3 linked regions of the Arabidopsis thaliana genome follow. The protein of the gene in region 2 interacts with the protein of the main gene of each other region in a pairwise test. Each region holds a gene or a part of one and is shown on either strand. Other genes may lie near its edges.

The links.
Region 1: the proteins of RDR2 (region 2) and SHH1 interact in a two-hybrid assay, tested with the Arabidopsis thaliana proteins (one study listed by BioGRID).
Region 3: the proteins of RDR2 (region 2) and CHR38 interact in a two-hybrid assay, tested with the Arabidopsis thaliana proteins (one study listed by BioGRID).

The regions. Positions count from the first base shown.
Region 1 is NC_003070.9:5,234,403-5,242,660, reverse strand, and holds SHH1 (SAWADEE HOMEODOMAIN protein), read right to left. Parts: upstream 4,618-8,258; 5' UTR 4,566-4,617; coding exon 4,512-4,565; intron 4,433-4,511; coding exon 4,347-4,432; intron 4,188-4,346; coding exon 4,142-4,187; intron 4,053-4,141; coding exon 3,884-4,052; intron 3,807-3,883; coding exon 3,746-3,806; intron 3,480-3,745; coding exon 3,428-3,479; coding exon of another isoform or gene 3,404-3,427; intron 3,367-3,403; coding exon 3,223-3,366; intron 3,131-3,222; coding exon 2,948-3,130; downstream 1-2,947. Other genes in the region: CCMH (cytochrome c biogenesis protein family), read left to right, coding at 1,544-1,687, 1,775-1,906, 1,987-2,190; ABCG35 (pleiotropic drug resistance 7), read left to right, coding at 6,088-6,919, 7,004-7,134, 7,230-7,622, 7,712-8,258. UniProt on the Arabidopsis thaliana protein: Involved in RNA-directed DNA methylation (RdDM). Required for the silencing of some endogenous RdDM targets and accumulation of 24-nt siRNAs, but not for the production of Pol V-dependent transcripts.
Region 2 is NC_003075.7:6,776,888-6,787,642, reverse strand, and holds RDR2 (RNA-dependent RNA polymerase 2), read right to left. Parts: upstream 7,195-10,755; 5' UTR 7,122-7,194; coding exon 6,570-7,121; intron 6,306-6,569; coding exon 4,399-6,305; intron 4,284-4,398; coding exon 4,133-4,283; intron 4,045-4,132; coding exon 3,253-4,044; 3' UTR 3,011-3,252; downstream 1-3,010. Other genes in the region: AT4G11120 (translation elongation factor Ts (EF-Ts)), read right to left, coding at 7,709-7,748, 7,832-7,920, 8,012-8,137, 8,235-8,419, 8,514-8,688, 8,820-8,909, 9,007-9,179, 9,268-9,577. UniProt on the Arabidopsis thaliana protein: RNA-dependent direct polymerase involved in the production of small interfering RNAs (siRNAs). Binds to single-stranded RNA (ssRNA); engages ssRNAs longer than 7 nucleotides and initiates internal to their 3' ends.
Region 3 is NC_003074.8:14,753,272-14,764,141, reverse strand, and holds CHR38 (chromatin remodeling 38), read left to right. Parts: upstream 1-4,056; coding exon 4,057-4,105; intron 4,106-4,219; coding exon 4,220-4,452; intron 4,453-4,548; coding exon 4,549-5,964; intron 5,965-6,068; coding exon 6,069-6,212; intron 6,213-6,301; coding exon 6,302-8,236; 3' UTR 8,237-8,344; downstream 8,345-10,870. Other genes in the region: AT3G42660 (transducin family protein / WD-40 repeat family protein), read right to left, coding at 8,441-8,833, 8,930-9,060, 9,158-9,284, 9,553-9,669, 9,751-9,853, 9,948-10,003, 10,096-10,230, 10,441-10,545 and 1 more. UniProt on the Arabidopsis thaliana protein: Probable chromatin remodeling factor. Required for the initial establishment of DNA methylation and for accumulation of 24-nt siRNAs.

The sequences.
Region 1 (8,258 bases), on a different chromosome or scaffold from region 2:
TTACAAATCCGTTTGCGTTGCTTCTGTTGATTGTGCGGTGCTTAAATGTCTGAACTTTGTCTCCATTGGCAATGGTGGCAAAGCTTATGTATCGCCTGTAAGACACAAAACTGGATGAAATAGGATTTGGGCCAATAAAGTAGCTTCTCTCTTGCGATTTGCTTTTTCTGCGCCTATTTCACGAACCGTTGATTCTCTTTTTGCTATTCAGTTTCAAATGCAAGAAGAAAGCAGGGCGAAATGCTATCGTTGGCAAGTAGTAGCCATGTCTCTATTAGGTCTTGCAGAATCAAATCCCAAATTGAATTGTATAGTTTGTTGTTACTTGTTAGTGACTGCTCAGCTCTCCTTCTGTCAAACGAATTCATATACAGATTAAACATTTGGTGTTAGTAGCTTTTGTGTAATTCATATACAGAACACTGAAAAGAGAAAGATTGGCTTCTCTCTGTTGTTGAGTTTGCTCTTTAGCAGAAAGGCAAAGATTGTGCAATTTAGAAGTTATGATATGTCTGGATGAATGTAAATAACTAAATATTACACTGCAATTCTTCTTGTCTAACATGTCATGCTTTATTATGTCATGCTTTATTGGTCATCACAGATAATGCCCACTTGCCTAGTTCCATAATATCAGAATTGAGGCTGCCTTCATAGCAAAATGATTTAGAAAGACAGTGAGTCATCAATGATCGGCACCATGGGGCTCTGCCCCCTCTAGCCTTTATTCACCCATGACTCCAGACCCCAAGTAAAATAAACGGGTGATGAAGAAGAAGAGCAGACCCATCACCAACACTAATTCAGCTAATAGTATGAGTATTCAGTGTGGTGCTTTTGTTTCACCCTCACTTTCTCCTATTGTAGAATGTGTTTTTTTCTTTTAATTGTTTCTGTAACATTGTTCCTTCCTGACGCTATTCTATGTTTCATTGTTTTGGTTCATCTCATATTTCTCTTCTCAATTTGTTTTGGTCATTTGGACTCCAAAGAGTGTTGGTCTTCTCTTAGTGAGTTTTATGCAGTTACTGATAGAATATAGTTCTATCAGTTACAAGGCCCATGTTTATTACAATTTCAAACAAATTATATATTTGAAGGGCCCATGTTTATTATGCCCACGAGCACTGTATACGCGCGAAACGTCTTCGGACACACTCTCAGTCGCACGCTCTTTCACGCGCCTTTTCGATTTCACATTCGGATCCGATTTGTTCACCCGCCGAAGATCCACCGGCATCTTCTCTAAACGGCTCTGTCGAGAAGGATCGGCGCTATTATTGCTGGAGGACGATTGGGTGTTTACTTTTTACTAGTAAACGGAGTAATTTCCCAAGCGAAAGGTTTCATTTTTGAGCTCCACGTTGAACGAACTAAGCGGTTTCTCGGAGTTCTCTTGCTTCCTCTCCACCCAGGTTCTCCCTTCATAACTTAATTTACGTTCCTTACGTTTTGGGTCTCTGAGCCTCTGTTGCCCACAAAGTGTTCGACGAAATGCCTGTGTGAAAACTCACAATACTCATATCATGAAATTGTCAGCGCAATGGAGAAAACAGACGAAGAGAGGAAGAAGGCTCAGATGCTGGACGCTCGGGCCAGAAACATTAGCCACAATGTTCGCTGCACTGAGTGTGGAAGTCAGTCCATTGAAGACTCGCAGGCAGATATCGCTATTCTCCTTAGACAGGTGTGTCCTTTACTCCGTTTTTTCTTCCAAAGATTAAGTTGAAGATAGTTTTGCTGTCTACTCTTCTAATACACCTGAGTTTTGTAGCTGATCCGTAATGAGATAGGAGCTGGAAAAACTGACAAAGAGATCTACAGTAAGCTGGAGGATGAATTTGGGGAGACAGTGCTTTATGCCCCAAAATTTGATTTGCAGACCGCAGCCTTGTGGCTCACACCGGTCAGTTTAAGCTGTCAATAACAACTGAAACCTCCATGGGGACGGAGGTTTAATGGACTCTTGTTTTTGGTGTGTGACAGGTTATAATTGCTGGAGGTACCGCTGCAGGAATAGTTTACCAGAAGCACAGGCTAAGGAAAAATGTAGACATCATGGCGTTGAACCTTATTAGAGGTGTACCATTGACTCCAAAAGAGAGAGTTACCATTCTTGATGTTCTTATTCCACCTTCCCCTCCTCCTCAGGGAGTTGTTTCCCGATTGAGGAGATGGCTCAACCGGTAGTTCCCGTGTCTCCTTAGCTCTCTTGTTCTTGGCTCGAATCTTGTTGTGTTAACAAGTAAACAATGTGTTGAAAAGAGTGAGTACACATTGATTGTCTTGGAGAAACAGATAGGGACTGCTTTGCATCCATTACAAGCAAATGGATTCTTCTGTAGAAGATCTTGGGATGAGATATGTATCGAGAAAGCATTATTGAAAGTGTGATACTTGTTGTACCTTTGCTGTGTGATTGAATACAGAGAGCGGGTCGATAGTTATATTACTTTCGGCACAAAGATTTATTTCTTTCCAAATAGTTTTTGTGCTAAATGAGCTTTTTTCCACATCTTTATCTTAATAAGCCGAAGCTCACAAAATGTATTGACCTGCGTATTGTATATACAAGAAGCAATGAGTAAACAGAAAGAAATAGTCTTGCTCACAAGAATGAGACTGTATGTTGAACATTACATAGGGTGTTAACTGGTTAAGCATTTGGGTATTATTACATTGTACCATCACCATTCCCTTTACAATTCTAAGCTTTTGCACTTTATTCCACATAGTTGACAGAAAAAAACTAACATAGAATCCTAGGGCCGGTAGGTACTTAGTAGTGGAAGTCTATACATGAGCATGTTATTCCATTTTTGGGTCAGTCATATACTATATAGTCATAGTTTACTGCATCTTCCAAATATGACTTCAAAACCAAAAAAAATTACTCTTCAGGGCGGCGGCAAATTCTTTCTAGTCCCAGCGATTCCTGAACATACACTTAACACAAAACTTCGTCAATAGTTCCCACACCCAACAAAAAGGCTGAGATCAATCTTCTTACCTCTGTATTGTCAAGCTCGTAGCGAACAAGAAACACGCAGTTACATCTCGCGTGATCATGAATCCCTCTCTTGATATTCAAAACATGACCATCACAGTAGAGTGCTTGATCCTCTCTTTCCTGCTCATTAACCACCCCAACTTTCATTTTTAAGTTCAAATTTCTTTTGTTAAATGTTCCATCCTTCATAATTAGATCAAAGTCAGCCTTACTTGGAAACATAGAAGCAGGTCTCCAACGTTCACTCTCCCACACTCTGATGGTTCTACAGGAATAGACCGCTCACGCACTGATGTTTTGACGTTTACCCACTCATCGTGTCGGTTGTCGAACCCAGAAAACCGTACACGCACTTCCTGTTGCAGACACTCTTAGTTGCAAACAAATCATCCATTAAACAAAAGAGAAAAAGCTTACCAGTTCACCAGTGCGAAGAACTCTATAAGTAAGGAACGAAGACACGTCATACCTGAAAGACCAGAATTCCAGCAAATAAGCACAGATATAAAACACAAACGTATATTACAAGTCCAAAAATTAGGCTTTATATGAATAACGTTCTTTCTTAAGTTCACACTGAATAGGTAAGGGCATTCCTCGTTGAGTTAACAATCAACAGAGAGTTCACATTTCAGGTTCTTACTTAGGCCACTTAACAAAGTCATATGCTAGCAGTAGTCCAAGAGTTAAAGCAAAAATAGAAACATGATATTCAATGCAAGGAAACGTTCTTACCACGCGTAGTCCCGCGCTGATTTAGCCTCAAAAGCCAGATCAGCTAAATCAGAGGCCTTGCCTGTGTATGAAAATGTTCATAGGCGTTATAAGGCGTTAACTAAAAGAATCAAATATGGCACACAAGAAAAGGAAAACCTTTTCGTGTTTGAACAAAGGTAGAATTCCCAACAAAGGTAGCATTTGAGGCATTTGAAGCATAAGAACTGGGATTAGATAAGTCATGAATCTGCAAAGGGGGAGATGGCAAAGTTTTGGATTTTGGTTGGCTTTGATGCTTCAGCTTCTCCTGGAACCAAATCTGTACCTGAAAACATTTTGATTCAAAAAAAAAAGTTATTTCTACTCTATTTGCATTTTTTACCAGTTAGCTCTATGAAGAAAAAAGAGACGCACCTGTTTCCAGGTTATAGAGGATTTGCCATTCCGATTCACAGAACAACTATAAGAGAAAATGGAAGAAGACATAAAGATTTTTTAGATACTGTGCATGAAAATCAATAATCCTACTATTCCTATAAATCCACAAAATGCTTGTGTCTCGATTCTCTAACAAACACATTCACATGATCAAATTCTCGTAAAATTCAGAATAAAGTACCTAAAAGTAGAGGCAACAGTTTGACAGAAATCTTTGTGGAGAGATTGGTCACCGAGCTCCTTATACAGATTCTCCATGTCTACAATCTTCGAATAAGAAGAGCAATAAGATCACAAAGCATGAATCTCTAATCTAAGAAAACGAATGATAGAAAGCATAGATAACCTCAGACAAGGTAAACTCGGTGAAATAGTGAGAGGAATCATCGGAAGCAGCCATTATCGAGCGCACAAGGAAGAAGAAGAAGAAGTGAAAAGGATCTTGAGCTAATTTGCTACTACACTGATGCCTTCAGAGTTCAGTGAGCTTTAGTGGGTTAATGGGCCTAAAATGGATAATAATAATATAAATGGGCTTAAACTCACTAATTTATTACCCATATGCTTGTTTTTTGGACCGTCTATTATTTTATTTTAACCACACTCATATAACTGTACTATTATTTAATATTTATAAATGACTTTGAAACAATCGAGACAGGATGAGGGAACCCGTCCGCGGGGAATCTTCCAAGTCATATGAGCTGGTGGTGCGTGGTGGAGTGTTTATTAATATTCATGATTACTGACATTATTAATCAAATACTATCATAGCATGTATAAGTATATAATTTAATCACAGCTAATCCTCACTAAGGCTCTACCTTCTTTTGTTGGCGACAACCCAGGCCCTTATTTCTCCAATACAAGATTCGTTACTAAACATATCAAATATACATTATTGTAATTAGTTAGTTAATTACACGTGCTTTAAAGCATTTTAAACGCACAAATTTGAAAATGATGGCAAAGGCCCTGATTGATTTTGACCGAGACACAAACACGCAAACATAGAAAATTTAATCAGGGATTTGTACTCGGTTACATAGCTGTCATTCTGTGTTACGTATTAATTACGGTATTTAACTAATCACGCACGCAGTAGATATACTATAACTTTACTTGATTAACAAAGCTAATAGCATCCATAAATTGGGGTCAAGATGTTTGAACTCATAACGAGTTACTTTGACATTTGTAGATTGTGTGTAGTTGGTACGAGGTCTACTAGTAAGTCATAACCAAATATAACTAATCGTAGTAGACTAATTCAATTTCTTACATAAGTCCCAAATTTTCTATACCTGTTCTGCACTAATCACTCCTCTCATTCTTATCACCATTGGTCCATTGCCATCTCTTGAATCCGTCAATCTTTTATTAATTTAAAAAGGCCACCTGCTCTATTGTTGACAATAGAAGGTGAGGAAAAACAAAACCAATCAAGCCAAAAAAAGACAACCTGTCTACATCATTAAGCACCAACCTTATACAAACGTATAAATCGAATTTTTAACTCGTGTATGATTGACTAGGCATCCTTCATTTTCCACATGGGCCATCCTGTTAAAAGATGTTTCATTATTGCATGGATTACTATAATAATCACAAGAATTTAAAAGGCACAATCAAGTGGTGCTTTTCTTTATAGTTTTCATTGGAGATTGTGATAAAATAACAGAGAGCACCAGAGGGGGAGCTTGCACTCGTCATTGTCCCTTACTCTTTTCTCTCTCAATGCTGCAGAGGCACTGACAAACACACCATCTTTGCTTATCTCTTTCTCTGTTTTCTTCAACGAAATTTACATATCATCCGTTTCTTCTACTCACATATGGATCCTATCAGTCTAATAGTCTAAAAGAAAGAAGAAGAAGCACTTAACTTAATAGAAACAGGATCAAGATTCATAAGATCTAAAGATGGATTACGATCCAGCTCATGCTATGAGCAGAGGTGGGAGTATGCGGCAAACCATAAGTCGTAGTGTAAGCAAAGCAAGCAGAAACATGGAAGACATATTCAATACAAGCTCTAGACGAACCAAATCTGTCAACGAAGACGAAGAAGCTCTCAAATGGGCTTCCATCGAGAAACTCCCTACCTACAACCGTCTCCGCACAAGTCTCATGCCTGAATTAGGCGAAGACGACGTCTACGGTAACCAAATCCTCAACAAAGCAGTTGACGTCACGAAGCTTGACGGCGAAGAACGTCAGAAGTTCATCGACATGGTCTTCAAAGTCGCAGAGCAGGACAACGAACGGATCTTGACAAAGCTAAGAAACAGAATCGACAGAGTTGGGATCCAACTTCCGACAGTAGAAGTGAGGTACGACCACTTGACTGTGAAAGCTGACTGTTACACCGGTGATAGATCTCTTCCTTCGCTTCTTAACGCGGTGAGAAACATGGGAGAAGCTGCTCTAGGCATGATCGGAATTAGGCTTGCCAAGAAAGCACAACTTACTATTCTCAAAGATGTTTCTGGTATCGTCAAACCTTCAAGGATGACACTTTTGTTGGGTCCTCCGTCTTCCGGGAAGACCACGCTTTTGTTGGCTCTTGCCGGTAAACTCGACAAGTCTCTTGACGTCTCTGGGGAGGTAACCTATAATGGTTATCGCCTCAATGAGTTTGTTCCCATTAAAACATCTGCTTACATTAGTCAGAACGATCTTCATGTTGGTATCATGACTGTTAAGGAGACTCTTGATTTCTCTGCTAGGTGTCAAGGAGTTGGTACCCGTTACGGTATAATCTTAGACTTTTTGTCAAACTAACTATCGATTTTGTTTTTGTTGGTCGATTGAGTAATCTTACTTGTTATTGATGCAGATCTTTTAAATGAGTTGGCAAGAAGAGAAAAGGACGCTGGGATTTTTCCAGAAGCTGATGTTGATTTGTTCATGAAGGCCTCTGCTGCTCAAGGCGTCAAGAGTAGTCTTATCACTGATTATACTCTCAAAGTGAGTCCCTCTCAACCTTAAATACATAATTGTCTTGATTAAACGATTATATAGTGTTCATATGTTGAGATAGATGTTATTGTTCTATGAAACAGATTCTAGGGCTTGACATTTGCAAGGACACTATAGTTGGAGATGACATGATGAGAGGTATTTCAGGAGGTCAGAAGAAGCGTGTGACAACTGGTGAGATGATCGTTGGACCTACTAAGACTCTGTTCATGGATGAGATATCCACCGGACTTGACAGCTCCACGACTTTCCAAATCGTGAAATGCTTGCAACAGATTGTTCACCTCACAGAAGCCACAGTTCTTATATCTCTTCTCCAGCCTGCTCCTGAGACGTTTGATCTATTCGATGATATAATCTTATTGTCGGAGGGACAGATTGTGTACCAGGGACCTAGAGACCATATTCTAGAGTTCTTTGAGAGCTTTGGGTTCAAGTGCCCTGAAAGAAAAGGAACAGCTGATTTCTTGCAAGAGGTAAATATATATATTAGACCGTTAGACCTAACTTGGTATTAATATTTGACCCGAAAGTGACTTACAAATTACATTTACGTGTGGAACAGGTTACCTCAAAGAAAGATCAAGAACAGTATTGGGTTGATCCAAACAGACCCTATAGATACATTCCAGTGTCGGAGTTTGCCAGCAGCTTTAAGAAATTCCATGTTGGATCTAAACTATCTAACGAGCTATCAGTACCGTACGACAAGTCTAAAAGCCACAAAGCAGCTCTAATGTTTGACAAATACTCAATCAAGAAAACAGAGCTTCTGAAAAGCTGTTGGGACAAAGAGTGGATGCTCATGAAGCGAAACTCCTTCTTCTATGTCTTCAAAACCGTCCAAATCATCATCATTGCCGCAATCACCTCAACACTTTACCTTAGAACTGAAATGCACACAAGGAATGAGATTGACGCCAACATCTACGTCGGATCACTGCTATTCGCAATGATTGTCAACATGTTTAACGGTCTTGCAGAGATGGCCATGACGATACAGAGACTTCCCGTGTTCTACAAGCAAAGGGATCTTTTGTTTCACCCACCATGGACATACACGCTTCCCACTTTCTTGCTAGGGATTCCAATCTCCATCTTCGAGTCTACAG
Region 2 (10,755 bases):
TTATAACAAGGCATGTGTTAAGGTACGTTTTTATGGTCTCTCAGTTGAGAAAGGTTTCTCAAACTCACTCATAATTTAGTATCTATTTTTATTTTTTTATTGGTCATAACCCTTGTTAGAACTTGTGGATGAGATGCTCTTAAGTGAAAATGAAATTTACAAAACATAGAAAGTGAAAGTGAAAGTGAAAACTAGCCACAAAAGTGGAAAACATGAAGATAAACATAGAGGTATAAAAATAGAATAACCTTATTTTATTCATTAAGTTTTCAAACAAAATATTCAAAATTGTTTTAATGGTATTAATAGAAAAAATAGAATGTGTGGATTTTAAGATTTTGTTAGATTTTTTTTCTTATCTAATATTTGTTGAAATTAATAATATTTGGATTCTCACATCCTTATCCCTTATCCTTGATTCTTCCTATATAAGATCACAAGTGCATGACTATTTTTTTACACCACAAAGAAACATAAAGCAAATATAACTGAGAGATAATTATGAGTGATGGTCATGGCATGAAAGAAGGTGAGAATTGCATCGTGAATCAAAACCTCCACAAGTTGGATATCTTGATTTTCTGATCAACGCAATTCTTACTTTCTTTCTTGCTCCTATCATCACTGAGTATTTTAATCATAAATCATGTAAGGTTGAATATTTTTGACATTGAGGTCAATTTGTTAGTTTACATGAACATTTCCTAATAATCAATGACAACCATATCAAAAATCAAAATCCTAAAATCGGTTTTCTGACCTTTTGGTTTCACGATCCAAGCAAGCTTCCCAACTTTTTTTTGCAATAACCTTAGTATTTTTTTTTCTCTTACTATTGAGTTTTTTCCGATGTATTATGGTTTTCGAGTTCTCTATAATCTTATTAGTATATAGCTTTTGATGTTTTTTGTTCACAAAGATTACATAATGCCCTTTCTCTAATTTTCGGGTCCAAGTTCACTAATGTAGGCAATCCTATTTGACTAAGATTCTGGTAATCCTTTTGCTCTATCGACGAGGCATATTGATTAAGAGGCATCACATTATTATTAAAAGTGGTAGTTTTGTGCTTGTTTCAGGTGAAACTTGTATTTGTGATGTTCATTGCCTCATAAAAGGAAGCACCAACATTAAATTTTGAGTTGATGATATCCGAAAGTAATGTAGCGTCTAAGAATCATCTATAACAAATAATTGTATTGGTAAAAAAAACTAAAATATATCAAAAACAATGATCAACGTCCCAAACAGAAGTATCATTTGTTCTTGTTTTGTTTATTTATTAAGTATATAATTACTTATTTAACATGGAAGGGATAATTGCAAGTGCGACTAAGTACTCAATTTCTTTCTTATTTAGTGCTAAAAAGTAAACAAATATTGGAAAAGTTTCAATTTTTGTTATCCTAAAGATGCATTTCATCTTCATTTGACACCAAAATCGTTATGATTGTTTAGACGTGCTTCTCTCGATTTACGATTTACAAACGATCAAACATAAATGATATTATAGCTAATTATTCCATTGTGAAGAATTGGTATTCTGTCACATGCCCTACTATTAACTATTTTTAGGAGTGCTCAACAATTGTCCACCGTATGTAATTAAAAAGGACATGAATCAACAATTGTCTTTCTCGCACAATAATACCAATGTAAAAGCTATACCTAAATCATACCAAAAATCAGTAAAAATCGAGGTATATCAGATGTGGCACATATTAATCAAACTCACAACTCTCTTTCGTATCGGTATTCGTTTATGCCACTTGCTTTGCTTTCTCATTTCTTTATCTCCTCTCAATGTTAGCCTTAATACTATGTAATCGTCAACTACGACATATTGAAAACAAAACCAAACCAACACACAATAGTTGAACTTGAGAATATATTAATTCACCAAAACCTTGCACGATTATTATAGTTATTCGCATAAATGACTAAAACTATTATATGTGAAGCAATTTACCCATACACCAAACCCTTCTTACTATCCTAAGCATTCTCCTTCAAACGCATATGTGACCCTCTCCATATGTAGTTCGTTCTTGGGCTAATTTGTTCATTGGTATGGTAATCTTTTCCAACGTCTAATCTTCTTCCATGCCGTTAACACCCTCAATCTTTGAAAGCTCATTATCCTTTTTCTCCTCCTCTGCCTTGACACATATTACAAGCACTAAGCACAAGCACCTATCAAAAATGTAGAAATATGGTTCGCTAATTAAATCCAAACTCACAAATTATTTTTTCCTAGTGAGATAGAAAGCTCTTCAGAAGAACCATAACATGTAGAAATAAATACTACTAATAAAAAGAAGCTCATTGAGGCCACATCAACAAATAAGAGGATTTTAAAATCATGACACATCAACAAATTTAAAATTATGACTTAATTGTGTCTTAGAACTTAAATAACAAACTAAATAATAAATGATGTATCTAATAAATGGAATATATGTTACATCCTGCTCTCTATTCTGTTGGGTTGTTGCTGGTTGAGCCTTCGGTTTCGTTCTTCTTCGGGATCTCCTGTCCTTTGGAGTTTGCATGCTTGGTTGGTTCTTCTTGTGGCTCATGTTTCTTGGTTTCGGCCCGACGCCAACTGTTACTTTGGGATTGGTTGCAGGTTTTGATGTTTTGAGTTTCAGATTTAGATCTTAAGTTTCTTTTAAGCTTACCTTCTTGTACTTTTATGCTTATAGTTTGCTTCCCTCTTTTGGGCTTAGGTTTCCGGGGATATTGATGTATTCCGCCGGCTTAGTTCCCGACAGAGTTCGTCTCTTGTCGTCGTTGTACTTCAAAAATGCATTCTACTTTCGTATAATATAATGAAATCATTCAGTCGGAAAAAAAAAATGGAATATATGTTAAGGTATGAAGTGTACCTATTTACTATTTTCATCTTCCAAGAATTTCACTAATATTATCAAATCCATAAGCTGACATCAAACTGCTAGAGATATAGCACAATCGGTTTCTCATGGACTAATAGAATTAGTGTCAACGCCAGCACTCCATTTATCTAATTTTGCATCAACAATATCTTTGTCAACTGTACCAATAAATCATCTGGTAATTTACCAATTTAATCTCCCATTTTGATAATTTTCACATTCAAAATTACAAAATGACACATAATATAAAGTCACAAGTCTTGTTAATATATCATATATAATTTTGACACATATACAAGCGACGTTATAGTCCTTTAACTAGCAATTCTACTACACCAAGTGTTATATAGGGCAATCAAATGGATACAAGTCCACTTGTTTTCTCTTCAACGCTCTGTCTCTGTGCATTTTCAGCCTTTATATCAAGCAAAACGTCACCTACGATCCATGGGAAACTCAAGAATGTCAACTTCTCATCGCGATGGTTTGGATTGTATGTTACATAGTACCACGCCGATGCTAGCTTCTTCTTCTGTTGTTCGTCCTCGCAGCTTTTCTCGAACCATCCCATGGCCTCTTTATGCAAATCTTTCACGGAAAGCGTAATTCTATCCTTCATATCACCATACCTCCGGTTATCTCTCGCCAGATACATCTCCTTGGTTTTCAAAATGCCTGTGAGAATCTCCTCTTCGTTAGCAGCTCCATAGTATATCATCAACGAGGTCAGTTTCTCACCATACATGTCTCTATGGGCTTTCGCTGTCTCTATAAAGCTCTCAAAGCCAGCTTCTTCAAGTGTCACATCATAAGCTACCGTGTCCTCGCTCTCAGCTTCTGGCTTTCTCTGTGCTAGAGAGCTCTTCACAGCACGGTATAGTTTCCCAAACACAGACTCAGAGATGTATGTTGGTTTCTCAAACCGTTCCAGAAAATCAGGGAACTCTCTGGGCTTTAAGGCATAAGGCATCTCAGCTGGAGCTCCAGTTTTTGCAAAATCAACAGCCCTAGAGTGAAGATTTGCTAACTCTAGACACTTCTGGCTCCGGGCTTTTTCAGGGTCACGGTCTGCGTGAACCAAATGTGCAGTTGAGATCACCCCAAGCGTGTCGCTTATCATATAATCCACAAAAAATTTGTGGATTTCCTACAAAGCAGAGTGAAAGAAAGAGAATCAGCTTAGCTCCAAAGATTAGGAAACTTTCACATCATGAAAGCCTTTTCAAGAAACAAACCTCTAACGTGACGTCATGATCCATTAGACGAGGCCTGCTTCCAGCATAGTCCATTGGAGGGTCCATTTCGCTAGGTATAATCTTCTCATCCCAGCTAACAAAAAACTGGTCTCCGTCGAGATCGCCACCAGAACATTCATTTGGATGTGGTCTGTGGAGTCAACAAAAACCAAGGAGAAACAAACCATCAACTAAGTTGGGACTAAGAATCAGAAGCATATGGTTTATCTTATGGTGCATAACTCTAAAGGATTGATTTATTGTACCTTTCTCCCTTCTGAGGAAAGATGATGCAGTCGAGATATCCCTTTTCTTCGAAATGGACCTCATATATAGCATCAAGAACTCTAATATCTCCAGGGTGAAGACATGGGTTTTTCGTCACGACCACTTTCCCAATAACCACAGATGTTTCCTCATCAATCTTGCGAAAGTAGCTCTGATCGCGAGATTTCAGTTCCGCTTTAGTCAGGGTTACACGAACATACACTTGGCCATACTCCAGGATACCCATTTCATCCATGCAACCGATCAAGATCCGTCCTTTCGGTACAAGTATCCTGCATCTGCTCTTTAGTTCAGAAAGCTGGCTCTCGTGGTGCACACGAAGCATCATTGAGAGGTAAGGTTCTGAACTCGGTGCATATCCTTGAAGCAGCATCTTAACTAGCAAATTCTTGGAATTTTCTCCGCTCAATTTCTGCAGAACATTAAGTGCTGCATCGCGGTCTTCAAGCATATTCCCAAGCATAGATAAATGCACCGCTTGCATCGCCTCAAACATTGCATCTTCTATTCCAAGGGTCGACAAAAGGCAAATGATCTCCCGGTTTAAGAAGCAAGGCATCGACTCTGTCCACCTGGTAACGTTCAGCATCCTGTTGTTCGAGTCAAATTTAAGCATACTATCACGCAGAGACAACTTTCGGAAGGAACTGCGGTCAACAGCAATCACACCTTTGTAGCCACCGTATCGAATTTGAAAGGCAGAAGGGACATGACTCAATCCACACTTCTGTGCAACTTGCTTGGCAAATGCAAGTGAAATTTTCCCAATGCCATCCGAGAAGCAGTAATCAGCACCATCAGTTGTCACTTCGATGTCGGGAATCTGCTCCACATCTTGTGCACGGACAATAAGTGTTTGCCGCGAAGCACTGAACAACTGACCCATCCTAGCAGCACATTTGGAAATGCTTCGGATTTTACGGAAACAACCCATCCATTCTCTTATATCTTCCGCTTTTACTTTCTCGTTAGAAGCAAACATCCAGACCGAATTTCCTCGCAGTTGGCTCGCTGAAAAAGCCAAGAACTCAAACCTCTTAGGCCCAACGGTAATCCCTTCTCCAAGGATTGACAACACCCTGTTATAAATGTTGGTTCTAGAGGGCTTCACAAAATAGCCTTCCTTGGAGTTCACAGAGAGAGCATTTGCGGGAAGCTTGCTCCAATCTTCTTCCACAAAAGTAACTCTCATGAAATCCGAGACATGCTCTGCAAAGTTCTTCACAACATAATTTGCAGTCTCAAGCTCTGGACCCAACAGATAGATCTTTGAGGGTGTAACGTAAGCTCTCTGACAACTCATGATGTTCTGCTCGGTCAATCTTTTATAAGCTGATGCAGGGGAATGCTTCATCTTCTTAACCACAGATTGCATCTGAGTCTTGACAAAGAAGACAGGATCATAACATATAGAACTTTGCTGGTGAAGTTTCTTGAGGATCACCAATGCGGTTTCCAAACTCATACCACGAAGGATTTTGATCAGTTCCATATCTGACGCAGCAAAAAGACTGATTTTCTGCGCATGAACAAGCGCATTGAGTTGGAAAAGGATCTCATATGGAAACTCTAACCCCAAAATGGCGGCATTCAAGAGGGGAACAATTTGAGCTGCAGAAGCAAAGGTCTTCCCATCCACATAAGTTAGACTCAAAGTGTCTTCTCGGTAGTAAGGTAAGCCCGAGAAAATGTCTAACATCGTTGAGCCATTGTGGACTTCCAAACAAAAGCAAGTTGATGTACCAATTGATTTCGAACCAGAGAAATCAGTTGTCCGAATCCACATGAAATCAAAATCCTCCTTGCAGAATCTGTACCGATCAGACTTAAACTTTGTGGCTATGTGAACTGTTACTCTTTTAAATACCTTCGGTCCATATTTCAGCTGCAACATAAAACAACATGTAAGCTAAAAGAAATCAGAAGAGACCAAGATAAAACACAAGCATACAAATCAATCCAATCTCAATCTCATGCACGTTCATCAAACCATAAAGCTGTCACAGAGGATTCAAAGAACCAATACATGCATAAACATATGACTAACCAAAAAACTCAATCTTGAATCATTTTCACAGAACCTGAACTCCTAAATAAACTCAACACAGACTCACATTGTCGCAAAACACATTAGGACTAACAAATTTACCTTGAGAAGAAATGCATCAATCTCAGAAGCGTCACCATTAACACAACAACTAAGAGTTTCAATAATATCCTCAAACCTAACTTCAATCTTATAACAATCACCACTTTCCCAAACCCAAAACTCAACTCTTCTCTTCTCAGTCAAAATCCAACACCTCACACCATCCCATTTTTCTAGGGCACAAAACCTTTTTTCATCAGACTCAGGAAACCCAACAGTCAAAACGATGTCGTCTAGCCTTTTCCTTGGATCTACAGGACGAGGGATGATATCATCATAAGCTTCAGAGAGTCTTAGGTTATGGGTTTTGAAAAGGAGCTTGCTTTGAGAAGAGAGAAGCTGGGCTCGAGATTTGACTTCGAGGGTAGTGAATTGTACTCGAGCGAAGTCTCTTGGCTTCCAATTGTCACGAGTTGTTGGGATTTCGAGTGCGAATACAGTATCTTCGCCGAGGTGGAGTTCTAAGAACCGGAGGAGTTCGTCGGCGACTATGGTTTGAGGAACGTTTGAGATTTTAACCGTTGATCGGTTCGTCGTCGTCTCTGACACCATGATTAACCCAAGAGAAAGAGAGACGGGGACAGTGTGAAGAGTAAATGATTCTCGAGAGAATCAGAAGTTTTTGCTTTTTCAGAAAGTTTGCGTTTTTCGAAAATCAAAAGGTAGAAGAAGAGTGCTTAGTGTTTATTGAGTGTTTTGTGGTGTACTGTAACTCAATACAGATGTATGATATCAACCGTAAGATTAGTTCTCGTTGATCTTGATCGTTGATTGTGGATAATATAAAGTTGACCGGTTTTGTCTATGAATTATATTAAACCGTCAATTTCGACCGTTGGTAACCGGAGGAGCCAAGAACTCACTATCTGCTTATTCAAATACTTGAGTACCTTAAAATCAAACACATAAGTGAAGGTTTTTGTATAATGATCTTAGTAGGAGTAGGAGAACACAAACATGTTTTTTTTTTCTGGTCATAGCTTCCTAGGCACAATCACTCTTATTGCCATATTGTGTGAGAAACAAAATCATGAGAAAGATTCTATAATCTCAAGAAGGCGTTGAAGCCATGAACTCTAAAGGAACCAAAGAAGGAAAGAGTTCTGTAAATCTAAAACCATGTCGTTGATTCTTTGTCTTCAAGCAGTTTGAGCAACTGGTTCATCAGATGCTTCAAGCCTTCAAAAAAAACAAAATTCATAAGCGACTAATCTTACAACAATGATAAGCCGTACTGGACATACGGGTGACGGTTAGTTTACCTTTCGATTCCTTCCCCAACCTCGACTCTAAGAAAATCGGTAACCTTCACTGGAGAACCTACCTCCTTGGACAAATTATCCACCAGTGTCTGTGGAATAGGAGCCCAAGAGTTGAATTCAACAAGCGATGCAGAGGTAATAAAACGGTAAACTAGGTGTTTTAAGCTAAGACCCACATACCTTAATGTTTATAGCATCGTTCACAATAAACTTTTGCTCCATTAGAGCAACTTCTTCAAAATACTTACGGAGACGCCCTTCCACAATCTTCTCTATCGCCATCTGATTCTTGCCTGTACTTTCTGCCTGTCATATACAACATTTGATAAGCAAACTTTTCTAACGCAGGTTGTGTACTTTTTACAAATTACAGTTCAATTTCATAACATAAAGTGACACTAACCTGAGACTTTAGAATCTCGCGTTCATTTGCCATTGCTTCAGAAGAAACAAGGTCTTTGCTTAAAAACAAAGGCTTTGCTGCTACAACATGCATAGCCAGTTCTGAGCCTACACGCTGAATAGCCTCTAGTTGAGTATTTTCACCTTCTACTTCGAGAGATACAATCCCAGCTATACGACCCAACCCTATTCTCATTTTTTTTTTTAAAGTTAGAAATGCACAGAAATATCATAAAAAAAGAGATTAGAAACAATGGGAAGTATATTGAACAAATTGTACCTGGTTGAGGACTTGTGTGAAGATATGCAGAAAGGACGCCTGCTGAAGATTTTGACATCAAGAAACCTCTCCTAAATTTTACATTCTCTCCCATGATTGCAGCTACTTCTGTAACAGCGTTTGAAACCGTTGTTTCACCATTAACTTTTGGATGATCGAGGTTAAGCTTGAACTCCTGATAGCATCCATTAGAGTGATTAGAAATGAAAAGTTGATATCAATATCTCAGACAGTGCAAAGGAAACAACATAAATCCATAAATTTAAATAACAAAAAAGGAAACAAGCGAGTACATAAAAAACTGACCTCAAAAAGCTCCGGCCCAAAGGGGAAGACACCAGAAACTTGCTGCGAACTACTCTCAACCAGCAAAGCATGTTTTGCCATAGCTAAAGCCTGCAAGACATGTCAATTTTAGAAGACAAGGAACAGTAAAATAAACAAAAAGCCCATCATTCAGCAACAACCAATGTGAAATTGCTATGGGACTAACCAAGTACTGGAAAATCTCATTCCTAGCAACAAAATCAGTCTCACAGTTAAGTTCAATAACAGCAACTTTCCCTTCATTTTGAGCAACGGCAAGCATTCCTTCTGCAGCAGTCCGTGACGACTTTTTCGAAGCCAAAACTTTCCCTCTCTTTCTCAAATCCTTCTGAGCAGCCTCTGTGTCAAATCCAAAAAAACCCACTTCAAAACACAACAAAACATACACAACCTTCACCAAAACAAAAAACCTAAACCAAATTCTTACCAAGATCCCAATTGCATTCAACTAAAGAAGCCTTAACATCTTTAATAGGAGCACTAGTTCTTTCCCTAAGTTGCTTAATAAGACTCATTTGGTCAGATACAGCAGGAGGAGCTTCCGAACTAAAACTCCGTATGAAATTCCCAAAACCACGAACAAGGCTTGTGTAACCAGACGGTACAGAGCTTTTGTACTGAGACAAAGTTTCGAATTTGCTTGCCACAGTAGAATACTCATTTCCAGAACTAAATCTACTACTAACACTATAATAAAAGACTCCAATTGGTCTTCTCACTGCTCTAGCAAACGCCATTTTCTTATATGTTAATCAGTTCTCTGCATCCAAAAACAAAAATCCTCAATTTGATAAGTATAAAATTCCTTCCTTTAGATCATCAAGAAACAAATTCTGAACTTGAGATAATCAAACGCAAGTCTTAACTAATTAAACCCTAAAAGAAGAGATTAACTTGACTAGAAATAGATCGACGTGAAACGAGATCGAAATAGCTTGGGAATGGAGCTTACCCGGCGATGAAAGTTGTTTGGTTACTGTGATAACGACGGTGATGGTTTTTGTAAAATACGACTGAAATTGGAAAAGGGTTTAAGTTTATAAGTATGGGCCCATTGATGGCCCATTAAGAGTTCGATAAAATAGTTGTTTTTGCAGAAACTTTTAGTTTAGGGTTTATGATAATGGAGAAAAAGCTTCCCCTACCAATTTGACGACAAGAAGCTGTGAATCTTCTCAATTGTGTTTCGGAATCGAAATTCGATCAAGAGAAATGTCTAATTCTACTGCAATCTCTCTGAGAATGTGTTCTATCTAAGGTTTGTTCTTTTCTTTTTCCAACATTTCCTCAATTGGAGTTTTTGAACAATTGTTTTTCCATATGGCATGCTTCACTAGTTCACTATGAATTCTTCTTTGTGATTCTTAAGTCTTTCTCATAGATGTAAGACAGCTTGATCTTAGATTGAGCAAGGCCTTGATTCATCTTCTGTTGTTGTTTGTCTCAGAAAGTAAAAAAGTTTTCAGTACCAAGTGAAGAAGACCATAAACAAGTTGGAGCAGCTTGATTGAGCAAGAAACCTTGATAACGTTATTACGCTGATTCAGTCCTAAGCTATGTACAATGATAAAGCATTTCAAAGATTACTTTTGTGAACATTCAACAAAAAACGATGCATTTAAAGTTTTTAAAAAGAAAAACGAAGATTTTTCTTTTCTTGGTGGAGGAGATTCATCCGTAGAACTAAAAAGCTCATTTCAACTATATATACATCAGAGTATGCTCTTTTACCTTAGAACTATCGGAGCAAATTTACATATCACAAAGAGGAATCTTATTGTAAGAGCCAAAATAAAAAATAAAAAAATAAACACCTTAGAACACCACAAAAGAGAAGGTCTTTTACCTTACTATGTATACCCATCAGCGGTATAAACCCTTACCGCGCTGATCAAACCGCAACTATTGAACAACT
Region 3 (10,870 bases), on a different chromosome or scaffold from region 2:
TTGAATCTTCAACCTCCAACGTCGATTCAACCTCCAAGCTCGAATCAACCACGACCATCTCCTCAACTTCGAGCCTCTATATCGCATCACATTTCTCAAGCGCAAAAATCACATGTGGAAAAAGATGAGGAAGCTGAATCTAAGGGACTCAACTCTCTCGGAAGATGTGCTCGCTCCTTTATAAGAGATATGTTCAGTCAGCCCGTGGGCAATATACCACCGTCATCTCTCCCAGATCGGAGTCTGGAACCACTTGTTAAGTATCTTCTCTTACCATCTTATAAATTGTATAGATGCTAGGAATGTCTGTGTAGGAACTAGGAAGATAGGTTATATAGATTATCAAGAAATCTCTGTATAGGAATTAAGAAGATAGATTGTGTAGGAATCTTTGTCTTAACTTAAAATGTGGTTCGATTAAATCTCATTAATTATGTTTTGATTGAATCTTATAGATTGTGGTTAAAGTTTGAATATGTGTACGATTAAAATTTATGTTTCAAGATCGTTTGTAGTTTGATTGAACCTTTGTAGTCTTAAAATTGTGATTTTTTCAATCTTTGAAAATGCTCTTTTATTGTCTAATTTTCCATTTAGCTTGTAGTGGTTACCAAGATTACATTCATTGTTCTTTTATTGTATGTTTCTAATTGCATGCATTTTTTTATTTTGTGTTTGTAGGTATGATAAGAACAAGTTAAAGCTTACCGGATGATTACAAAGGTTTTTACAAAAAGTTTCATGGGTCATATTACAAGAAGTTCATTAAATAAAAAGAAAAAGGCAGCTAAGTTGGTTTTCCTTGAGAATGACGAGTCTTCCGATGGTACTTCGCGTCGATCAGAGCTATCTTAAGAAGAGGATGACAAAATCTTTTTCAAGTAGTGTGCTTCTTTATGTTTGCTTTTTCTTATATTATTGTTTTGAAAAACTGTTAAGAACTAATATTCTTTGTTTTGTTTATGCACTCTACTGTCACAAACGACATAGGAGAATATTCTAAAGTTAGAAGAGTAGGAAATTACACCAACGAGAAGCGGAAGTACCCGAAAAGCTCTTCTTCTTTCACAAGCCTGCAAACACAGCTTAAGGAAGCTAACTGCAAAATGAAGGAACAAGAAACTTTACAAGCAGAGCGTGAAGAAGAGGCTTTGCAAATTGCAGCTGAGCACTTGATGATCGTGAAGTACTTGAGCGCAACCGACCCAAACATTCTCGCCTTCCTCGAGTCTCAATCTATTGATCCCGCTACTGCTGATGTCCAAACATAGGTACCTTTTCCATCCTTCTCTGAATTTGAAAACGTGTGTTGGTTTGAATAAGAATTTTTGTTTTGTTTTGAACATATAGGTTGTTTGGTTTTGAATTGAACAAGAATGTGTGGTTTGTTGGATCTGTTTTAAATACACATTTCTTATGTGTTAACAAGTCTGTTGATAATAAATTAGAATTATAATCAATTTATCAAGAATTAATTGAAGGCTAAATCAAGAATTAAACCTCTAATCAATCACAAAGTAGTAGCAATTCAATCACCAAAACGTTCACAAAACAATTGTGATGTTGTGGCAAAGATGTCGCATAACAGTCGCTATACTTAGCGACGACATTGCGACTAAATAGTGACCACTTAAATCGGTTGCACATTAGTTTGTTATGCGAGTGATTATTTTAACACTCGTTGTTTAGGAAATACGTGTTTTAGTCGCAAATAAGTCGCAAGTAGGGGTTTTGCGACTGATTAGTGACTTCTTATGTTGTCGCCAATTAGCTGTTTTTTTGTCCTACCAACAAAAAAAATTAGTTGTTTTCTTGATCTAGAGACTTGATCGTAGAATTCGATGGTAGTGAGGAATGTTGGTGAGATGAGAGAGAGAGAGAGAGAGAGAGAGAGAGAGAGAGAGAGAGAGAGAGAGAGAGAGAGAGAGAGAGATTGTTGGATAGCATGACAAAATTTATAAATCAATGATAATAGCATGTTTTGTCCTTGAAATACATGCGTTTATAAAATCATATATAATCTTATATGTCACACTGACGAGTGATGGAGAAAATCCGGTGAGAGGAGAAACACAAAATATACGAGGGATAAGAAAGATAGCTTCTAGGAAGAAAGAAAGAGAGAATTGATGGAATCACATATCCAACGAGAGGAAGATAGGAAAAAAGGAATGTGGTGGTGATGAGATTCAGTAAAAGAAAAAGATATCTAGAGAGAGAATGACTATAATGTTGCAGACAAACAAGAAAAAAAAAGAAGAAGATAATAAAAGGATAAGATGAACCAAAAACCCTTAAAAAAACATATAGCAAATAGTGTCCATTTAGTCAAAGGTTATTTCGTTGATTCTTTTCGAGTCTTAGGTTAGTTTCTATATATTCTCTAAATTTTATAATTTTCTTTTCGATTCTAGTGAGAGCTGTTGCTAAAGCTAAAAAGAGAAAAAGATATTTAAGTAAAGTTTTCTATTAAACATTATATATTTTACTATCCATATCAAATCATGGAACATTCATAGCCACCCAAAACATTTTGAGTGCCACCAGCAAAAAAGGCCTAATCATATCAAAAAAAAAACATTTTTGTAAGTGTAAGAGTTGAACCTACTACCTATTGTTCTATCACCCAACGATTAACCAGTATAGTTATAAGAGATATTTGGAAAATAGATGACGGTTAATTAATAACTATATCTTATACCGTAAACACATGCTTCCCTAGCTTGTGACTAAGGCAGATTCTGGTAACAACTCATATTTTATGCATAAGATAAAGCTCACATAGACCTTGTTCAAAAGCATTACATATCCAACGATTTACAATAACTCTATCATTTACATTTCCAAATGTTATATATTTTAGTGTTTGTTTGATTTAATGGAAAAAAAAACAGTTTTGCATTAACTTTGTAAGGGATACAACAATTAAAAAAAGAGTCAGAAATAAAATAGAAAAATAATATAAACAAAAATAGAGAAATCTACTAAAGAAAACTAGATATTTGATCTTCCAACATATTAAACAGAAAAATAAAAAACTAAAGAGAAAAAAAATTAGAAATGGAGTAAAGAAAATACAGCAATTCACCGTTACCCTTAACTACTTTTTAAAATATTAAATGATATTTTCTTTTAGAATCTTGAAATAAAAATAAAAGTTTCTTTTTTGATATCAAAACCATATTAAAAACTCATCTTTTACTAATTTTAGTATAATAATTAAAAAACAAACTAAGTAAATGTTTTTGTTTTGTGCAAACTAAATGTTAAGTTCATGAATTTGTGTAAGATATTTTCCCTATAAACCTATCTCAATGTGGACCCAATAGGCCACCATGCACACAACTTGGCTTTTACTCTTTGTGTCAGTAAAATCTAAAGATAGTAAAGACAGACCAAATCGCAGCCGTTTATTTCCCATATAAAGAAGTACGTACATGGAAATGACAATAATACCCTCACTCCTTAAACCCTCCTCTTCTCTCACTTTATTTTTCAGTCTCTCTTTATTTCTCTCTATCACTTTTTATCGATTCTGCGCAAATTCATGCAAAAAGGGAAAATAAAAAGTTCTACACTGTCCCCAAGATTCTGCGTGAGTGTGGTATTGAATTCTTCGCCGTCCCTTTTCTATTTATCATATTTTGTTCCTTCTCTTATTTTCCTCTTAGTGTCAATCATGGACTAGAATCAACTCTCTTTTTCCCTCAAAGGTGATATATTGATTTTGTGTTCTGATCATAAAGTTGTGGTTTTTTCAATCTGGGTTTTGTTTGTTGTTGATGACGATCATGTTTCGTTTTTCATTTTGATACGACACTGTTACTCTGTTTTACACCTTTTTAGTACAATAATGTTGCTTTCGCACATTAACCAATATGATCAAGTTTTAAAGTTCATATATCATATATGTTCTGGGTTGTCTCTAGTTGCAGATAAAGTTTGAATCTTTTTTTTATTTGTCAAGTGGTGAATGAATCCTAATGAAGCTATACATGTATTGGTTACAGGAGATCATATGTGGATCCACAAGTGATCTTGAAGGGAAAGAAAAAAATGAAGAGAAAGCATTACTTTGAGTTTAACCATCCATTTAATCCATGTCGTAAGTGTTTTACAAGATCTGATGTTTTATTTTCTTACCTAAAATGTCATGCATTGAGATTTGAATGACTGCTGTTTCTTTACCTAAAATGCTCTGTTTTGTCTGTTGTGGTAGCTTTCGAGGTGTTCTGCTGGGGGACATGGAAGGCCGTGGAGTACTTAAGGATCGAGAATGGAACGATGACAATGCGTCTCTTAGAAAATGGACAAGTTTTGGATGATATAAAACCATTTCAGAGGCTTCGAATTAGATCAAGAAAGGCGACTTTGATCGACTGTACTTCTTTTTTAAGACCCGGTATCGATGTTTGCGTTCTTTATCAGAGAGATGAAGAGACTCCAGAACCAGTACATTCACTTTCTTCAATATGAAAGTCTTTAAATCTATGCGCATTTTTGCTGTTTTGAAACGTTTTGTGTGTGTGTGTGTGTGTGGTGGTGTAGGTTTGGGTGGATGCAAGGGTTTTATCTATAGAGAGGAAGCCTCATGAATCTGAATGCTTGTGTACGTTCCATGTCAGTGTTTATATAGACCAAGGCTGCATTGGTTTGGAGAAGCATAGAATGAATAAAGTTCCGGTACTCGTGGGACTCAACGAAATCGCCATCCTTCAAAAGTTTTGCAAGGAACAAAGCTTGGACCGTTACTATAGATGGAGATACTCTGAGGACTGTTCTTCGTTGGTGAAAACAAGACTAAACTTAGGGAAGTTCTTGCCTGATCTTACATGGTTGCTTGTTACATCAGTTTTGAAAAACATTGTGTTTCAGATTAGAACCGTTCACGAGAAGATGGTTTATCAGATTGTGACGGATGAAGATTGCGAAGGCTCTAGTAGCTCTTTGAGTGCAATGAACATTACGGTTGAAGACGGTGTTGTCATGTCTAAGGTTGTTTTGTTCAATCCAGCTGAGGATACTTGTCAAGATAGTGATGTAAAGGAGGAGATTGAAGAGGAGGTAATGGAGCTGCGTCGGTCCAAGAGAAGAAGCGGGCGGCCTGAGAGATACGGAGACTCTGAGATTCAGCCGGATTCGAAGGATGGATGGGTAAGGATGATGCCATATAGGTACAACATATGGAATGTTTCAAGTGATGATGATGATGAAGAAGAAGATTGCGAGGATGATAAAGATACTGATGATGATTTATACTTACCGTTATCGCATTTACTTAGAAAGAAAGGAAGCAAAAAGGGATTTAGTAAGGATAAGCAGAGAGAGATAGTTTTGGTAGACAAAACTGAGAGGAAGAAGAGAAAGAAAACAGAGGGATTTAGTCGAAGTTGTGAGCTTTCGGTTATTCCTTTCACTCCTGTCTTTGAACCTATACCGTTGGAACAGTTTGGTCTCAATGCAAATAGTTTGTGTGGTGGTGTCTCTGGAAATTTGATGGATGAGATCGATAAGTATCGTAGTAAAGCAGCGAAATACGGGAAGAAGAAGAAGAAGAAGATTGAAATGGAAGAGATGGAATCTGATCTAGGTTGGAATGGACCTATTGGGAATGTGGTTCATAAAAGAAATGGACCGCATTCTCGAATAAGGTCCGTTTCTAGGGAAACCGGAGTTTCTGAGGAACCGCAGATTTATAAGAAGAGAACGTTGAGCGCAGGTGCGTATAACAAGTTGATAGACTCGTACATGAGTAGAATTGATTCTACAATTGCAGCCAAGGACAAAGCAACCAATGTTGTTGAGCAGTGGCAAGGGTTAAAGAACCCCGCAAGCTTTTCGATCGAAGCCGAAGAAAGGTTGAGTGAGGAGGAGGAGGATGATGGCGAGACTTCAGAGAATGAGATTCTATGGAGGGAAATGGAACTATGCTTGGCTTCTTCTTACATTCTTGATGACCATGAGGTTATATATATATATACCTTTTGGAAATCTTTTTATATTTTCCTGAAAACATTCTTGATGACCATGAGCTTACATTTTTATATGTTTAATAGTTTGATTTGAAGTTTCAGGTGAGAGTGGATAACGAGGCGTTCCATAAAGCAACCTGTGATTGTGAACATGACTATGAATTGAATGAAGAAATCGGAATGTGTTGCAGATTGTGTGGTCATGTAGGAACTGAGATAAAACATGTTTCTGCACCTTTTGTAAGTGGAAACTCTATACCAGACAACATTTTGTCACCTACTTTCGATGAGTTACTTGTAATATATTTTGGTGGTATGGTTTTCGATAGGCGCGGCACAAGAAATGGACGACGGAGACTAAGCAAATCAACGAAGATGACATTAATACTACTATAGTTAACCAAGATGGAGTTGAGAGCCATACTTTCACTATACCAGTTGCTTCCTCAGATATGCCATCGGCTGAAGAAAGTGACAATGTCTGGTCTTTAATACCTCAGCTTAAGAGAAAACTGCATTTGCACCAGAAAAAAGCTTTTGAGTTTCTCTGGAAGAACCTAGCCGGGTCAGTGGTTCCCGCGATGATGGATCCGAGTTCAGATAAGATAGGTGGGTGTGTAGTTTCTCATACTCCCGGAGCAGGAAAAACATTTCTAATCATAGCTTTTCTCGCGAGCTACTTGAAGATATTTCCGGGTAAAAGACCTTTGGTTCTTGCTCCAAAAACAACTTTGTACACTTGGTACAAGGAGTTCATCAAATGGGAGATTCCGGTCCCTGTTCACTTGCTCCATGGTCGTAGAACCTACTGTATGTCCAAAGAGAAGACCATTCAGTTCGAGGGAATTCCAAAACCAAGCCAAGATGTTATGCATGTTCTTGACTGTTTAGACAAAATCCAGAAATGGCATGCACAGCCGAGTGTTCTTGTAATGGGTTACACATCGTTTCTAACTTTGATGAGGGAAGATTCAAAGTTTGCTCATAGAAAGTACATGGCTAAAGTACTGAGAGAGTCTCCTGGATTACTGGTTCTAGACGAGGGACATAACCCGAGGAGTACCAAGTCGAGATTACGAAAGGCCTTGATGAAAGTTGATACTGACTTGAGGATTCTGCTTTCTGGTACATTGTTTCAGAACAACTTCTGTGAGTACTTCAACACTTTGTGCTTGGCTAGACCCAAGTTTGTTCATGAGGTTCTAGTGGAGTTGGACAAGAAGTTCCAGACCAACCAAGCCGAGCAAAAGGCGCCTCACTTGCTTGAAAATAGAGCTCGGAAGTTCTTCCTTGACATTATAGCCAAGAAGATTGACACAAAAGTGGGCGATGAGCGCTTGCAGGGTCTCAACATGTTGAGGAATATGACGAGTGGTTTCATCGATAACTATGAAGGGAGTGGAAGCGGAAGTGGTGATGTTCTCCCAGGTTTGCAGATTTACACATTGTTGATGAATTCCACTGATGTACAGCACAAGAGTCTTACCAAACTTCAGAACATAATGTCAACTTACCATGGATATCCACTCGAGCTCGAGTTACTCATAACGTTAGCTGCTATCCATCCTTGGTTGGTCAAAACCACAACCTGTTGCGCCAAATTCTTCAACCCTCAGGAGCTTTTAGAGATTGAGAAGCTCAAGCACGATGCAAAGAAAGGATCAAAAGTCATGTTTGTGCTTAATCTTGTGTTCCGGGTGGTCAAGAGGGAGAAAATCCTCATATTTTGTCACAACATTGCGCCGATCCGCCTGTTTCTTGAGCTGTTCGAGAATGTATTCAGGTGGAAGAGAGGCCGAGAGCTCCTGACCTTGACAGGGGATCTCGAGCTGTTTGAAAGAGGCAGAGTAATAGACAAATTTGAAGAGCCAGGAGGCCAGTCCCGTGTTCTGCTGGCTTCGATTACAGCCTGTGCAGAAGGCATCAGTCTAACCGCTGCTTCACGGGTGATCATGCTTGATTCAGAGTGGAATCCTTCTAAGACAAAGCAAGCAATCGCACGTGCATTCAGACCGGGACAGCAGAAAGTGGTGTACGTTTACCAGCTCTTGTCGAGAGGAACACTTGAAGAAGACAAATACAGGAGGACGACCTGGAAAGAATGGGTCTCCAGTATGATTTTCAGTGAAGAATTTGTGGAGGACCCATCTCAATGGCAAGCTGAGAAGATTGAGGACGATGTTCTTAGAGAAATCGTGGAGGAAGACAAAGTCAAATCCTTCCATATGATCATGAAGAACGAGAAAGCTTCAACAGGTGGCTGATTGCTGAATTTTTCCAGTTCAAGTTTCTGTTTCACCATGCCTTTGATGATGATTCTTTAACAGCTTGTTGTATTGTAATATAAACTAATCCTGTATCATAAGTTTGTGTAATCATTCAGCTATAGCATCATAATATTTAATAAAGTGAAACAGATGTATTCATCATAATCTTGTTAAATAAAACAAAACCTCCAAATAAGATCATTAAACAGTTGATTTGAGGAACGGGTTTGAAGAACGTCGAGCTTCTCCTTGATTCACTTCCTTTTCCTGTCCCTTGTCTTCCTTGTTAACATTGTTCACCGGATTCTTCAAATTCAATTTCTTTATCTCTTTTATCTTCGCATCGTCACTTTTGTCTTTCTTTGTTTGTTCTTTTCCCAGCTTTAGACCTTCTGAAACTTTCGATTTCTTTAGAAGTGTAGGAGCAGATAGCTTAGTTGCAGAAGATTTCATAACTGCTTCTGTGTTTTCACTAGTCTGAATCGAAGCTGGAGGATTCTGGACCTTGGATTCAACTCTTGTAACTACTTCTCCGTTTGGATTCAGCGCAGGATTTGTTACCGCCGCCTCGCTAGCTTCTTCAAGCAACCTTTCCTGTTAGTGAAGAACCAAAAAATTAGCATTACGTCTGTATCTAATTTTTCTTCTCTTTTGTGCAAAATATAAGAAATGAAAGTACTTGTAGAGTACCTCGAGTATGCTGCTGAATTTCTCTGCCAAAAAAGGAAGCTTGAGTTTGGTAACCAGTGTTATTGCAGCTCTCATTGATTTTTCTAGAGTTAAAAGCTCCATAAGTTCACTGGCCCTTGCAAAACTATCACCTGAAAGATGTAAAGAATCTTGTTGTAAAAATCTGGACAGTAATGGTCTTAGAATATGAGTTCACACACAACACAAGCAGATATATATTTAACTTACTACTACAACACGAGCTGATGAGCCTTAGTATGCATTTATCTTGAGAAACTTCCAGGTCAAAAGCTTCATCTTCAAGTGCTGTTGTGTCTACCCCGACCAAAGCCATATCGTCCACTTTTCGTTGAGTCTGAGATTAGGAGGAAATAATATATTGGAAATGGTCTCATATATCGATATTGATACTAGTTTCAGCAGATTTTGTTACTTATAGCAAGAACACGAAATCTCCTGGTATATATTCATCTCTGTTGCTTACCCAAAACAAACTTAAGACTATTTCACATATATTTTGGTAGTTAAGAACTTTGGAGACACAATATACTGCTTAACAAAACTTGACCAGAAAAGGAGAAATAACAGCAAATTAAAATGGTGTAATAAGGAGAGAGAAAAACCTCGTATAAACGCAGCTGCTTTAGTATTAACTCATTTTCTAGAGATGCTGCTCCTAAATCTGAGGATGCAAGCGGGAGAGAAAGGTCTAGTATGGTAAGGATTGGTTTTGGTGTCACCTGAAATGGCAGGAAGAATAGTGGTGAGCCAATATTTTCCAGATAAGTAAACACCTTAATATCAAGAGTGATAATATATACCTGTGGGAACATCTCCGCGTATTTGCAAGCTATACAGTACAAACTGCTTGTATTCAAGCCAACCACCCAGTAGTTTTCTTCTTGTTTCTTCTCTTTACTGGTACTGAAAATTACAATGAATTCAGTGAGTAAAAACACCTTGAAGAAACATGCGTAAAGAAAGTTCTCGGAAAGTGTCAATAGCTACGGCAAGATACCTGAAAACTGGGATCCATGAGCCACCATATTGACTTGTAAAAACCCTCAACACACCCTGCAGGAAACCTTTCTGTTGTAATGCGTGTTGTATGCAAAGAGCACCAGTGTAATAGCAAAATGAGTGATCGTAAATGCAAGAAAGCACACCTCAGAATCATATGAGCTCAAAGAACCTTCTTCACTGAATCCTATCCATGTTAAACGTGAGCCAGGGGTTAAGGCAACACGGCCTTTCAACTCCTGAGTCATTTTGGATATGTTAAAGACTCTAAATTCCATCACCTGCATATTTTTGAAACAAGAATGAGCCGAGAATTCCATCAATGTTATGAATCACTTTTCCTTGTTGGAGCAATAAGATAGAGTTAAAGAAGCTTCATATTGTTATCAACAAAGATTGACAATGTCCTTTCACACTATTTACTATGAAGGGGATGCCAAGTGACTCCAAGGTTGATCTAAGCAGAGAACCCGATGAGAAATGATACATACCTGTTCATTTGAAGGAAGACAGTCTGAAACATGAGTTACCACAGCTAGATGATCCTTGCATCCTACTGCAGTGACTACGGGCCCATCAAGAGAAAGAATATGTTTCTGAAAGAAATGACCATAACTTATCAGATCAAATAAACCAAGTATTTCAATACTACGGTACATATTACACACTAGTATTTGAAGTTAGTCAAAATCTGTATTATGTCAAAATACACTGACTATATCTAAATATGCATTCTTTTCATCTGAGAATAATCCAAAAAGAGACAAACAGAGGCACAATACACAACAGCAAGTTAAGCAGAAAACCATTACAAAACTAAATGGTAAACTATGATCAGTTGCCTTTGTAGCCTATCAGCTTGCTCGAATTATGACAAATAATAAAGAATAAAGTTCAAAGAAGAAACCTGTAAACCGCCCT